Mus musculus: one gene and its partners. The protein of the gene in region 1 interacts with the protein of each later gene in a pairwise test. Links are inferred from orthologs where the notes say so. Each region holds a gene or a part of one and is shown on either strand. Other genes may lie near its edges.

Region 1 (4,797 bases):
CTGGTCTAGGACAGCCAAGGCTACACAAAGAAATCATGGCATGAAAAACCAATATACGGGGCTGGTGAGATGGCTCAGTGGGTAAGGGCACCCGACTGCTCTTCCGAAGGTCCGAAGTTCAAATCCCAGCAACCACATGGTGGCTCACAACCACCCGTAATGAGATCTGATGCCCCCTTCTGGTGTATCTGAAGACAACTACAGTGTACTTACATATAATAAATAAATAAATCTTAAAAAAAAAAAAAAAAAAAAAAAGAAAAACCAATATACGGCGGTTAAGAGCACTGACTGATCTTTGGAAGGTCCTGAGTTCAAATCCCAGCAACCACATAGGGGCTCACAACCATCCATAATGAGATCTGATGCCCTCTATCCTCTTCTGGTGCGTCTGAAGACATCTACAGTGTACTTAGATATAATAATAAATAAATAAATCTAAAAACCAACATATATATATACACACACACACACACATATCTATATACATATCTATATCTCTATCTATCTATCTATATATGTATATATTCATTTAAAACATCTAGGAGACTAGGTATAAGAGGCTAGGTATTGTGGTACACACCATTAATCCTAGAACCCTGAGCTTGAAACAAGTCTGGTCTACACAGCAAGTTCCAGGTCAGCTCAGACCGCACGGTAGACCCCAACACCCCCACCTCTCTCTTCACTCTCTTTTTTCTTTTTGTTTGTTTGTTTCTTTCTTTTTTCTTTTTCTTTTTTTTTTGAAACAGGGTTTCCCTCAGTAGCCCTGGCTGTCCTGGAACTAGCTCTGTAGACCATGTTAACCTAGAATGCAGTGATCTGCCTGCCTCTGCCTCCCAAGTGTTGCGATTAAAAGTTTGCACCACCACCCTCTGGCTAGTAGATCCTCTTAAAAAAAAAAAAAAAAAAAAAAAAGAAGAAGAACAAGAAGAAAGAAAAAGGCAGGTGTGGTAGTGAACGCCTTTATTCCCAGCACTCAGGAAGCAGAGGCAGACAGATCTATGTGAGTTTGAGGCCAGCCTGGTCTACAAAACAAGTTCTCCAAAAAACAAAACAAGAAAAGAAAGAAAAGAGGACGGGAGAAATGTCTCAGCGGGTAAGAGCACTGACTGCTCTTCCGGAGGTCCTGAGTTCAAATCCCAGCAACCAGATGGTCGCTGCTCGCAACCACCTATAATGAGATATGACGCCCTCTTCTGATGCATCTGAAGTCAGCTACAGTGTACTTATGTATGATAATAAATAAATCTTTGGGCCGAGGCAAGCAGGGACTGAGCAAGCAAGGGTGACTGCAGAGAGTGGGGTTGACCAGAGAAAGCAGAGGTCCTAAAATTCCCAAAAACCACATGAAGGCTCACAACCATCTATCTGTACAGCTATAGTGTTCTCACATAAATAAATAAATAAACAAACAAACAAATAAGAAAAAAGAATGGACTGTTTCCTCCAATGACCATCTGTACAGCTATAGTGTACTCACATAAATAAATAAACAAACAAATAAGAAAAGAGAATGGACTGTTTCCTCCAATGACCACATGGCTAAGTGCAAGCTGTGGTTGGTTTGAGCCTCTGCTCAGCACCAAGACCCCTCATACTGGTAGCTTGGGTACAGAGCAAAATTCCAATTTCAAAGAACAGCATCTATTGAAAAGATACTGTTTCCACACCACTATCAGGTCAAAAAACGCTGCCAGGGATCAGAGATCTACACAATAATGTGGAAATATCCTAAGCACCTCAAAAAATTTTTACTGGGCTAGAAGGCATTTGAAACTCTTTCTTCCCTCTTCTGTATATGTACATCCAAATGATCTCAACTCAGAAACAAATTTAAGACTGCCAGGCCCTCTTGCTGCTGCCTAGACCACTGCTCCTTGCAATGTATCCAATAAACCTGTTTTCTTCCTTAAAGGAAAACAGGGAAAAGAAAAAAAGACTGAGAAAATTGAGACCCAGGCTATCCCAAGGAGGCTTTGAGTCAGATGACTAATTGTATGGTGGTATGGACCACAGCCGTGAGTTGAGCTCTGATTGAAATCAGCTACTGATCCTGGGGCAAGTCACTTAAGGTCTGTGGGACAATTTTCTCATCCACGACAGCTGTTGGCTCACAGAATGTGAGGTAGCGATGAAATGCTACATAAAAACGTACCTAGCTTGTAATAGGAAAAAACGTGCCTAGCTTGTTGGGCAAGACAGAGGTAAAGAGAATGACGCTTTGGGCCAAGGTTCAAATACGATCTCTAGTGCTTCCTAGCTGTACGATGCACAGCGAGTCAAATGCACTGCCTCGGTTTCCACCAAATAAAGACAACACCACTATTTAATAATATTTTGGGAAGGGATGATAAACGTAAAACACTCAACAGTGCTCAATAAAGCTTAGCAATTATTACCGCTAGGAAACGGCAAGAGACTTCAAATGCAAGGTGCGGTGGGTCACCGGCTGCGGTACCACGGAAAAAGCGTAACGCAGTTTTGGAAACTGACGTACTTGGTGACAACCTCTTGCACTTTGCAGCTGTGTCGACCCAGAGGGCTGTTTTAATCCCTCCCTAAAGAAGATGGCTGTGAGCGTACGGGGAGACCAGCACGTGAACGCTCCCAGCGTGGAGTAGGAATCAACTCCGATCTTCCTCCCTTCACTTCCCGCGTGGAAGGGACAGGCCGCACGATCCTAAAGCTCAGAACCATGAAACCAAGACAAAGTTCAGAGCCCAGTTTCCCTGCCCCTGGCTAGGGAGGCGTTGCCATCCTTCCTTCGTCACCAGACCAAAAGGAACCTCGGGGGCCTCTGGCCGAGGCTAAGCTCCGTACCTCAGTTTACCAATCCTGCAACTGTCCACCACTAAGACATCGCTAAAACGGCGCGTCCGCCGAGCGAGGCGTTTGGGGCTCCCCTTCCCGCTTGGGCTGAGCCCTTTCCCTCTTACCTCAGTGCCCCGCGGTTTCTCCATGATACCAAATTCAATTCCCTCAACCGTCACCAGGTGCAGGAAGCCATATTGCCCTCGCCGCTCTCCGAGAGTGTGCTCATTGGCTGCTGCGCCCGAGCTGCGGGCCAATCATGCCGCAGGAAATAGGAAGCCGGTTCCGCGCTCGCCCGCGCCCCGCCTCCATTAAGGAGGGGCTGGGTAGCCGTGAGGATTAGGGGAGTTGTAGTTTTCTCCTGGGTGCACGAAAAGGGTCGTTGCCTTAGTAATGCGAAATCTCCTGAAGGGTACTTCTAGGGTTTTGTTGTTGTTTTTTCAGAGACAGGGTTTCTCTGTATAGTCCTGGCTGTCCTAGAACTCACTCTGTAGACCAGGCTGGCCTCGAACTCAGAAATCCGCCTGCCTCTGCCTCCCAAGTGCTGGGATTAAAGGCATGCGCCACCACGCCCGGCGGGTTTTTTTGTTTTTTGTTTTTGTCCTTTCTTAGTCAAATTTCAAACCATCTGAGCACAAGGGATTGGACGTGCCAGCCCCCCCCCCACACACACAAAAATTCGCACTCTCCCCAGGGGCCCCAGACAAAAATTCACACTCTCCCCAGGTAGGAAGTAAAGGTGCTCTTGGACAGGAATGCCTAGCAGAAATGCCTAATCCCTCTTTCAATTCAGACAGGAACAGGAATATTCTTAAACTCTATGTCCGTCTGCTCGCTGGGGCTTATGAGATGGTTTAGTAGGTGAAGGATCTTGTTCCATGAGCCTTTCTACCTGAGTTCAAATCTCTGAGCCACAACATAAACCTGGAAGTCAAAAAGCTACTCACAAAGTTGTCCTGACCTTTGTGTCACGCACATAAAACAAACACACAAGCTAAATAAATAAATGGGGAAAAAAAAGCCTTGGACTGGAGAAATGGTTCAGTGGTTACTGGCCACTTTTCCAGAGGTACCAGGTTTGATTCCCAGAACCCAGAACAACTCACAAAATTCTATAAACCCAGTTATAGTGGATCCTACTTTCTCTTCTGGCCTCTGATGACGCCAAGCACTAACATGGTCCATACATATGCATTCAGCAAAACCCCCATATCCACAAATAAATTATACGGATAGATGTTATAACCTTAAATCTAGGAGAGATGACTCAGCCTGTAAGTGAGTACAGCCAGAGCATGGAAAGCTGAGTTTTGCCCCCCAGTGCATGACAGAGCATGCCTGTGATCCCAGCACTAGGTAAGCAGACACAGAAGGATTCCCATGGCCTGCTGACCAGCCAGCAGCGATACAGTGGATAGCAAGAGATTGAAGAAGACACCTGAAGTCAACGCTTTTGCCAACTGGAGTATACATGTGGATTGAGTCCCCTATAGAACTACTCCTTCCCATCCTGGGTTCTCAGGAATTGTATGGCCTTACAAGCATCTAAAGTTCAGACAGGTCTGGATTAGTTTACTTATCCTACGTGAGGGCTCCCAGACCCACTCCCAGCTCCCTGCCTCTCTGCGTTGCTTTTTATTTTTAAATTTTTATTTATTTACTTTTTTAATGTGTTATAGGAGTTTTGCTTGCACGTATGACTGTGCACCATATGTGTGGCCAGTGCCAACAAAAGCCAGAAAAGGGTGTGGGATATCATGGAACTGGAGTAACACGGTGGTTATGAGCTGCCATGAAAGTGCTGGGACCGAACCTGGTTCTCTGAAAGAGCAGCCAATGAGCTTAAAAACTGAGCCCTCTCTCCAGCTTGTTTTTATTGTTTCTATTGTTTTGATTTTTTTTTTTTTTTTGAGACAGGTTCTCTGTAGCTGGATTGGCCTTGGACTCAAAGAGATCCTCCTGCCTCTGCCTTCCAAGTGAGTG
Region 2 (4,872 bases), on another chromosome or scaffold:
CATAACTCATCAGCACAAAATAAAAGAGAAATGGACAGCTGGGCACAGTGGTGCATGCCTTTAATCTAGCTCTGTGAGCCAGCCTCATGTACATAGTAAATTCAAGGACAGCCAGAGAAACATACTAAGACCCTGTCTCAAAAAAACAAAAACAAAAACAAAAACAAAAACTGGGGTAGGGGTGGAGAAATGGACAGAGAAGTAAATAGACATTTCTCCAAAAACATAAATCAAATGATCAAAGAGCACCTAAAAAATATTCGGCAAGCACCACTAGCCATGGTATACAACACAGAATCACAGTGGGTGATCACCTTATGTCTTTCTGGACGCCTATCAGCAAAATGAGCAAAAATAATGTTGCAAGGTGTATTGTTGGTGGAAATGCAGACTGGTACTACTGCTATGGAAATGTATGGAAGGTCCTTAAAAAGTCTGAAGACAGAATCAACGTGTGGTACAGCTTTCTACTTCTAGTTATATACCAGAGTATTAAGAACAGGGGTCTGAATGCCAGTGTTCACTTCAGCATTAACTACCCCAGCCTGCAGGTGAATGAGCACAATGTAGCAGAACATACGATGGAATATTGTTCAGACTTAAGGAGCTCCAACACGATGAACCTTGAAGATACTATGGTTATGGGTAAGCCAGATAACACGGGGCAGGTACTGTCTGGTTCATACTCAGGGCAGGAAGTAGAACTGTGGTAACCAGCAGCTGGAGGCAGGAAGGGATGGGAGGTACTGGAGGGTTAGGCAGTTTGAGTTACTAAAGTTTTGGAAAGGGCCGAGAGTGATGGTTGTACTGAAATATACTCTTTATATATAAAAAGTGTTACAATGGTGAGTTTTATATACCTACTTTACCATAACTTTTTAACAGTTATCAGGAGTGAGACCTACTTTGATAGTATATGACTTTTTTAGAAGATTTGTTTGTTTGCTCTCTATACAGACATTTGTGGAGGCCGGAATGGACCATGAGATCCTCCAGAGTTTACAGGAGCTTATGAGATGAGATGTGGGGCTGCTAACCAACCTCCAGTTAAGCAAGCACTCTTAACTTCTGAGCCATTTCTCCAGCCAACACATATAATTTTTAATAACTGTTTCTGCTGCCTGGAATAGGCAGGAGAAGAAGAAGTGAGCAAAAGTCTACGAAAGTTACTACTGAACCTTAAAGTACCTAAGATCTTGACTTGAAGTCTCACAACTTCTTGAGCTGTCTCCTGAGCCCATTCGCCTCCTTTTACATGGATGGGTCCCATCATTTGAGTTATCTTCATTATCATCCTGTACATTTAAATGATTAAAAAATTAGAAAATTTAAGAATGAATAAAACTAAAATCTGACCTTTAATCGAAATGAAATTAAATTTTCAACTGTATTTTAAATGTACTCTGCTTTCACTTTCTTACCAACTAGATTGTGTTCAAACATCTGCTTTTTAGTAGCCACACCACTTTAAAAATCAAAGCAAGCCTTCCTATTTGAGCTGGGAAATAAATACTAGTAAGTTTCATAGTACCCTTCAGCTTACAACTGGCCCCCCGGAGGCGCATTTTAATTAGCTACTTTGGAGATGAAGAAGGACTGGATACAGGTTACCACGTCTAACTACATTCCTTTTCTTCTGCGGCAGAAATTCAACACTTTGTGATAAACTCATAGGAGATATAGGTTGTTGAGCCATTCCATTAAGGAAATAAGTAATCAAATGTTTTAAAAACAATTCATTACGTTAATTAATAGGCTTAAACTCCTATTTTTTTTTTAAATCAAGGTACTATAGCTCCTAACACTACTACTCTTACTATAAATTTCAATAAAGGCCCACGGAAGGGAATGAAAAGGCAGCACAGGCTAGCATGCCAAGTCAGCATGGCACTGCGGGCTGCCAGAGAATCTTACTGAGCACTGCCCTCCACCAGCTGTGTGCTGCAAGCTTCTCCCCAGTCCTAAAGCCTAGGTGGCTGATGCAAGGATGCAGTGAAGTGATCACATAAGAGCCAGGTAGCACATAGCTGTCTGATATATGTTAACGTTGTGATTAGCAGTGACTTTATATTTCATTATGTCTCCAGCACCTAGGAATTTACTAAAATTACTTTCCAAATTAAAAAAGAACATAGAAATCATTCCCCTTTTCACTCTTCAAGAATGAAATCAAGTAGACTTAATATTCCCTTTTAAAGCTAACAATCAAGAAGTTGAAAGATAATTAAATTTCTTAGTATGTTTTTCACTGTATTCATGGTCCATACTGGCTTGACACCGTTAATTTTAAGCACTATTTTATTAATTTGTGGACATTTTAAGGATTTCTGTATGTCAATACTTTTACTTAAAAACAATGATCCTCTCGAAAAGAAACAATAACGGAAGTTGACACAGAGTTTACCAGCTCACAACTGTAGGAATCCTAAGGGCTACGTTCCAGGTAAGGCCCTCCCCTCCGCACCATCCTCGGTCAGGACAGGGAGCCAGCAGCCCCCTGCGAGCAGTCAGAGACCCCACCAGGGAGGACCGGCACGTGGCGGGGGCCACCTCGGCTGGCCGGGTCTGTGGGTGTGAAACCACGTTCTGCCAACTCGGGACCCCGAGCGCACGTCCCGCTCAGCGTCTCCCCGACTGAGATCCCCAAGGCCGCCAACTTTTCCGACTTTCCCAGGCTGGGGGCGCTTCGTCTCAAGCACTCTTCCCGAGTCCCCCGGTCCCAGCTATTCCCGGACAACTTCCCACCCCGCCGCGCAGGTCTCCCCGACGTCCGCGCCCACTGTCCGCCGCACTTGTTGCTCCAGGACCCGCCGCCCGGTCTCCTCTTCTCTCCCGAGCCCGGCCTGGGCCGCTGCCCCTTGGGCAGCGCGCTCCGCTCACCTTTGGGGACTGCGCTCCGGGGGAGGCCGGGTCGCTGTCGCACCGCCCCGGGGACAGCGCCGCCCCGGGCCCGGCCGCTGCCATCAGCCCAAGCGCCCCGCGCCTCCGTCGTCGTCGCCGCCTTCGCCTAGTCCCAGCGGCCGCCGCCGCCGCCGCTGCCGCCGCTGTCGCGCGGGCCGCCCGGCGCCCCGGCCCCGCCCCCTCCGCCCGCCCGCCCGGGGGCCGGCCCCTGCCGCCGCGCGCCCCGCGGCCCGCCAGCGCCACCGCCATGGCCGCCAGCGCGCTGCCGGCCGGGACCCGCACGCCGCTCACGTCAGCCGGCCGCAGCTGCGCGGCTCCGCCGGCCTCGGCCGGGGCCTTGCCGCCTTGCCGCCTTCACCCGGCGCGCCGCGCCCGGCCTGAGCTCCGCTGGCCAGCCACCGCCTCGGTCCCGGCCCCACCCGGGTTCCTGGCCGCCTGGCGAGCTCGCTGCCGCCCCTTCCCTGCGCCCCCGGCCCGGCCCTCCGCGTCAGCCGCGGCTCCGCGCCGCCCCGCCCCGCCGCGGTCCCGCCCCCTCCCCTCCTCCGCTGCGCGTCAGCCGGGGGTCCTCAGTCGGCGGTGCCTGCCTTGTCCCCACCTGGGTCCCTAGCCCCTCCCCTCAAAGATGTGTCTTCACCACGCTTGTTCTCCAATCCCTCCCCCGTACCCAGCTCCTCCCCTCAGCCCGGGGTCGCCACCACGCCGCCGTGTCCTCCCCACTCCCGATCATCAGCACCTTAGCTGAGGGTCCCTACCGCGCGGTATCCTCCCACCAACCCCACCCCTACCGGTCCCCAGCCCCTCCTCTCAGCCCGGGGTCTCCACAGCCGCGGCGACCTCCCCTTCTCCACCAGGGTCCTCGCTCCCTTCTGTAAATGAAGGATTAGTGTCCTCAGCCCACTTCCTCCTCTCTCGCAGCCCTTAGGGTCAACCACCCCAGGAGCTCCGCCTCCTCCCTCTTTGAGATCCCCTTCTCCTGAGTCCTTTCTGACTTCTCCACCCCACCTCTCCATCTTCACTCCACACACCCCAGGATCCCCAAGGCGCTCTTGGCTCATTTGTTCTACAACTGCTTCTCCTGTGACCTTGGCGTAGTGGCCCCCATGGCCACGGGAAAAGTCACAGCAGCACTCAGGTTGAACGGAACCCAGTCAGGCAAGGAGAACATAGGGAAGGTTCCCAAAATCATATGACAGAGTCAGCACAGTCACCTGCAGGACACAGGATTGGGAATTCCTGGAAATGGAAGCCAATTGTCCAATGGTGTTTGGACAGGATTTATATTGATGTTAGTGCTTAGACTTCGCCACAGGAAAGGCCGTACCCCACCCTTTGAAAAGAGCACCAGGAAGACAACAGGTCCAATGGACAAAGGCAAGGGGCAGAGAGGCAGGCCTACATCCCCCACCCCCCATCCCCTCCACTCCCCACAACACTTCCAAGAATGTAGGGGACCAAACCAGAAAAGGTGGTGGTGATCTAGCTCTTGGATTTTAGAATTCGAGTTCCCTTTCACAGCCACAGCTTCTAGCTCCAGAAAGTAAGCCCAGCACTTCTCTCCTCCTTTGAAATATATATAGTGTATCCACATGAAGTATAGAGCCGACAAATAATGTAGAGGTGAAGGGAGTGCCTGCCATAGAGCAGGATGTCTGCAGCTTCAAGATAAAGTGATACACAAATATATATAACTGAACTTAAGGGCATCGTAGGTGGGAAAGAGCATACTTGCAATTAAAAAACAAAAAGATTTTAATGTTATAAAATTTGAAAGTTAAGAAATGAGAGAGGGGGCCGGGCGTGGTGGCACATGCCTTTAATCCCAGCACTCGGGAGGCAGAGGCAGGTGGATTTCTGAATTCGAGGCCAACCTGGTCAACAAAGTGAGTTCCAGGACAGCCAGGGCTATACAGAGAAACCCTGTCTCGAAAAACAAACAAAACAAAACAAAACAAAACAAAACAAAACAAAAAG
Region 3 (5,019 bases), on another chromosome or scaffold:
TTCACAGCAGGCACACCCTACAGAGAAGTCGAGAATGAAGTAAAAGCTGAACAGACATGAAAAAAGATCAGACTTTAACAAGGGGTAATTGAAAGACCAAGCAGCCAAGGCAAGGTCAGCATGGCTAAGCACTTAGTGTTCCAGGACCGTGTAGCTTGGTAGTGATCAAGACACAACCAAATAGGCAAAAACAAAACCCCAAACTTAAAGAGCCGATCAGGTCACACCACCAGCTGGCACAGGAAGCAGTTAAGTGTCCAAGAAGAAAAATCAATGGCCTATCACTGGTGCAGTGTACGGAAAAATGGATGCAGGAGGCCAATTCCTTTCTTGGATCAAATTTTAGTTGGCCACAACTAAGTGAGATGACCTTTGGAGTGGACCAAACTGCATTTCTGGAACATCAGCTTTACAGCCTGTTACCTACAATATACTGACTCTTCCCCCCAAACTACCCAGAGATAGTTTTCTTCTCATCAGAAATCCCAATTTTTGGTAATATTAACTATACTGCTGTGAATGATTTGTTATGAAGCTTTCTTGTTTAAAACCATAAAAAGGGCATCTTGTAAAAACTAAATACACTGGGGCTGGAGAGATGGCTCAGCGGTTAAGAGCACTGACTACTCCTCCAGAGGTTCTGAGTTCAAATCCCAGCAACCACATGGTGGCTCACAACCATCTGTAATGAGATCTGATGCCCTCCTCTGGTGTGTCTGAAGACAGCTACAGTGTACTGATATATATATTAAATAAACCTTTAAAGAAAAAACAACCCGCCGAGCATGGTGGCTCACAGCTTTAATCCCAGCACTCAGGAGGCAGAGGCAAGTGGATTTCTGAGTTCAAGGCCAGCCTGGTCTATAAAGTGAGTTCCAGGACAGCCAGGGCTATACAGAGAAACCCTGTCTTGAAAACAAACAAACAAAACAAACAAACAACAACAACAACAAAAAACCCTAAATACACTATTCCAACCTACTTGCCTTTGGGTATCTAAGATTACAATTCTAATTAGCACTAAATAAATGTAATTTTTTTCCCTCAACTACGCTAAATTTGATTCTGGTTGACATTGGTGATAAATAACTTGTCTAATATTTCCACTATAGTTCAGTGAGGTAAAAGATGAATATAGCCATCTTCCTAACTTAATGTTTAGAAGAATTAACAAAGTTTAAAAAGCCCCTCATGGTCTAACTCCAGTTTTGAGCTGTAAATTTCCTTTCTGGAACTCTAACTTCCTTAATGTTTGTGTCCTCTTGAAAATCTCTATACTCAGCCTGACCCACTGTTGCCTTCTATCTAGTTCATTACTAACTCATTAGCTATGTAGATTTAACCCAAGAACCATTGGGCTGCTAAATACTAAAGAGCAACAGACACAAGATACTGATTTAATATGGGAGACACGAGTTTTAGTCAATACTTGATCCAAATTCAGTTCACAGCAGTTACACTGGGTGGCTCATGTGTACTCCTGCTTCAAGACAGGCCCTGGCTTCTGTGCATCTGTACTCAAGTGCACACAACCACGGATACAAAACCAACAAAGTAAAATAGAAGCCAGAGAGATTGCTCAGCAATTAAGAACACTCCGATGTTTTACAGTGCACCCAGGTCCAGTTCCCAGAATCTATAGGGTAGTTTACAGCCATTCAAAATTAAACTATAGATATGAACACCTTCTTCGGACCCTTGTCAGCACAGGGCCACATCAGATGTGGGGAAGAGGTTAGATTCTAAGATTTTTACTAGTTTAGAAGTACTGGCGCTGTGGATTGTCTCAGAAAAAGTCTGGCCCTAATTCCCAATTTTATGGAGCTGTACTACCTATAAACTTCAGGGTGGTTTTCATAGGTGGGAAAGAATGTTGGAGTGCCCACAGGATCTGCTTCCTTATTAATCTAGAAACTTGTGTTGTTCCAAGACAGTGTTTTGTTAGTGGATAAAGTAACTTTGCACTCTCCACACCCATATCCTAAGGGTGTTACTAGCCCACGCCCACAATCCCAAATTCCAGGGATTGCAAAGAAGCATCTGATCAAAAAATTTTGGACCTGTTTTCAAACACTTTAAACTACGAAACTTGCAGTAAAGGAGATTATTGGCATATTAACTTTACCAGAATAAACAAAAACCCTGATAGATTTTCTTGGTTGTTTATCTGCTTATTACAAGGTTTCTAGGCACTTGGTTAGTTTCTGGCCATTTCACCTTCAGAGTACTTTCCCACTCTGCTACTTTCCTTCCCGTCCCGGGGCCTTCTTTTGGCTATTTAAATAGGCTCTGGGTGCTTAAGAGTTTAACGCACGTCTTCCAGCGCCTGGACCATGTGTGCAGGCTCCGGGCCCCAGGCGCCGTCTTGGGGAACCCGATCAGGCACTTTGTCGGAAGGCCTGCATCCGACCTCGGGGCCGCACGTGTATGCGTCAAGCCTGCTAGCTCTCTGACGGAGGGCTGGGGGACCCTAGGGTCCGAAAGCAAGTTACTCACCTACGGCTGTCGCCATTATCCGAGGTGAACTAGAGGAGCAGACCGCGCGGGAAAAAAGGGCAGTGTTCTGGAAAACAAGGGCGACCACAGGATCAGAGGGCGGGAAAGGGAGGTGCAATATCAAGGACACGCCCTAGCCCCACAGCCCACCGGCGAACCCGAAGTACCGGGCTGGCTGTGCTTGGGGCTGGAGTCGTGTCCCCAGGCTTCCCGCCGCGCAGGCGCGCTGACGCGACCCCGCTTCCGGGCGGCCCCTCCCCGCAGGCAGCCAAAAAGTGGCGCGCATGCTGCAAGGCCCCCGCTGGCCGGAGAGGTTTCTGGGTTGGAGCGGACCAAGTCCTGACGGCCGGGGGACGGCGTGAGACCAGGGGGCACGAACGGCTCAGGTTTTCTGAGGGACCCACGCGATCAGCTGCGCCACTCTCATCACCTACTCCTTGGGCGCGGGAAAATAACGGAGCCTCCCACGTGCAGAGAAAGTAGCGATCCTGACCTCGGCCTCCTCCCCACCTCTTTGACTCCGTAGCCCCGCCCCTCTCTTTGCCCTAGCTGATTGGCGGAGAGCGGGAGGCAGAACTGGTCACGCCCCTTCTATGAAGCGCGCCGCCGCAGTAGCGAGAACCTAGCCCGCCCGGGAAGGAGGCAGTCAGTAGCGCGAGCCTCTTGAGGCGTTCGATAGCGGAGCGGACAGCTGGTTGGTGCTTGGACCACGCCGCGGCAGCAGGTCCCTCCACGTGCTTTCCGAGGCGCCATGGAGCTGGAGGAGTTGGGGATCCGCGAGGAATGTGGTGTGTTTGGGTGCATCGCTTCTGGAGACTGGCCCACGCAGCTAGATGTGCCGCATGTGATCACTCTGGGACTCGTGGGGCTACAGCACCGGTGAGCAACAGGATGGAGGGGTGGGGGTGGAATGGCAAGTATTTGCACAGTTCCACGAGCCGCTTCCCAGCTCTGTGCTACGGGGAACGCAAGACAATGAGGGTGGATCATGACTGGGAAGGGGGGATCAGGGCTAGGAGGGTGAATCTCGAGAATCAAGTCAAGTACCTACTCAGGATATTGACCAAGTGGGGGTGGGGTACACTTTGCCTGCATAGACTTTAACTTAGGCTGTCGCGTTGCTCCCGAGTGCTCTTTACAGGTTAGCTCCCAAGAATGTGCATCTCTCGTCGCGGGTTAGTTACTCTGGAGTTTGCTTTCACTAGCCAGGTTGGGAAGGGACCGTTCAGATCTCCTTGAAACTAGAACTGTTCTAGAGATAAGCTTCTGTAGGGTGGTGGTGCTGAAGGTCCTGCAACACTTGAAGGTTTTTCTATTTGTTGTTGTTTTGCACGGGGCCTCCTGCTTGCAAGAGCTTTGTTTGCAAGGGCAGAGCTACTGAGCAGATTTGTCAGCCTGAAAGCAGTTAGAGGTTTGGAGATCGTGAGTTTAAAAGTAGTTATAGCTATGAGAAATTGGGAGATGCCTTTGGGGCAAACAAAGAAAAAAAGACCTTTGCCTCCATAATTTGTTTCTTGACTTCACTGACAGTATTATGGAAATAATACAAACTAGGGTTTTGTCTCTCTTCAAAAACTATTCTATCACGGAGTTTTACAATACAGTAGCAACAATGTCTAGACCAGAGCTGGGCAGTAACCCTTTTTATCAATGTGGGTGCTACATGCATCACTAATGATTATTCTTACCAGACTTAGCCTAGAAGTTGTCCTTTTGCAGAGTCTTATTTGACATTCTACATACTCCGCATACATTTATTTAAAAAAAAGCATCTGGGGCCACCCTGTGGTGGCGCATGCCTTTAATCCCAGCAACTGGAAGGCAGGGGCAGGTGGATTTCTGAGTTCTGAGGCCAACCAGGTCTAAAGAGTGAGTTACAGGACAGCCCGGGCTATATATACAGAGAAACCCTGTCTTGAACCCCCCTCCCCCCAAAAAAATTGTTTTGAGAATGTGTGTATGTATATGGTGTAGGGGACTATGTTTTTTGTTGTTTTGTTTTGTTTTTTAAATTAGTTACAACTTGCTGGGTGCAGTGACTAGCTCAAAGCACTGGAGAGGTCTGCAGAGGCAAACTGATCTGGAGCTTTTGAGGCTACATAGCAAATCCTAGGCCTGCCATAGCTACAATGAGGCCCTGTCTCGATAAACAAACAAACTACAACTTATTCTTAGTGACTTGTCACTATGTTATTATGTTTCCTATACTTACTTTTTTTGTTTTGTTTGTTTTTTTGAGACAGTTTCTCTGTGACTGGCTGTCCTGGAACTGAGTTGGCCTTGAACTCAGAAATCCGCCTGCCTCTGCCTCCCCAGTGCTGGGATTAAAGGCGTGCGCCACCACTGACCAACCCTATACTTGCTTTTATATGAGAAAGCTATAAGATTAGATAAGGTAAGGACAATAAAGATAAGATGTGTTAGTGAATGGATTGTATTTTATAGTAGAGTTCATAATATCAGCCCTGGCAAACATAGCAAGACTAGTCTACCAAAAGAGATTGACTTTATTAGGATAACTTA

The links. The genes of interacting proteins can lie anywhere in the genome.
Region 2: the proteins of L3mbtl2 (region 1) and Phf10 interact in binary tests that used the Homo sapiens proteins (3 or more experiments, as listed by UniProt). The two-hybrid records come from large-scale screens. The link is inferred for Mus musculus from reciprocal best matches to the Homo sapiens genes L3MBTL2 and PHF10.
Region 3: the proteins of L3mbtl2 (region 1) and Paics interact in binary tests that used the Homo sapiens proteins (3 or more experiments, as listed by UniProt). The two-hybrid records come from large-scale screens. The link is inferred for Mus musculus from reciprocal best matches to the Homo sapiens genes L3MBTL2 and PAICS.

What each region holds. Positions count from the first base shown.
Region 1 is NC_000081.6:81,662,167-81,666,963, reverse strand, and holds the start of L3mbtl2 (lethal(3)malignant brain tumor-like protein 2), read right to left. Parts: upstream 3,076-4,797; 5' UTR 2,964-3,075; coding exon 2,940-2,963; intron 1-2,939. UniProt on the Homo sapiens protein: Putative Polycomb group (PcG) protein. PcG proteins maintain the transcriptionally repressive state of genes, probably via a modification of chromatin, rendering it heritably changed in its expressibility.
Region 2 is NC_000083.6:14,958,231-14,963,102, forward strand, and holds the start of Phf10 (PHD finger protein 10), read right to left. Parts: upstream 3,031-4,872; 5' UTR 2,965-3,030; coding exon 2,881-2,964; intron 1,296-2,880; coding exon 1,189-1,295; intron 1-1,188. UniProt on the Homo sapiens protein: Involved in transcription activity regulation by chromatin remodeling. Belongs to the neural progenitors-specific chromatin remodeling complex (npBAF complex) and is required for the proliferation of neural progenitors.
Region 3 is NC_000071.6:76,949,313-76,954,331, reverse strand, and holds the start of Paics (multifunctional protein ADE2), read right to left. Parts: upstream 3,031-5,019; 5' UTR 2,513-3,030; coding exon 2,497-2,512; intron 1-2,496. Other genes in the region: Ppat (amidophosphoribosyltransferase), read left to right, coding at 3,248-3,375. UniProt on the Homo sapiens protein: Bifunctional phosphoribosylaminoimidazole carboxylase and phosphoribosylaminoimidazole succinocarboxamide synthetase catalyzing two reactions of the de novo purine biosynthetic pathway.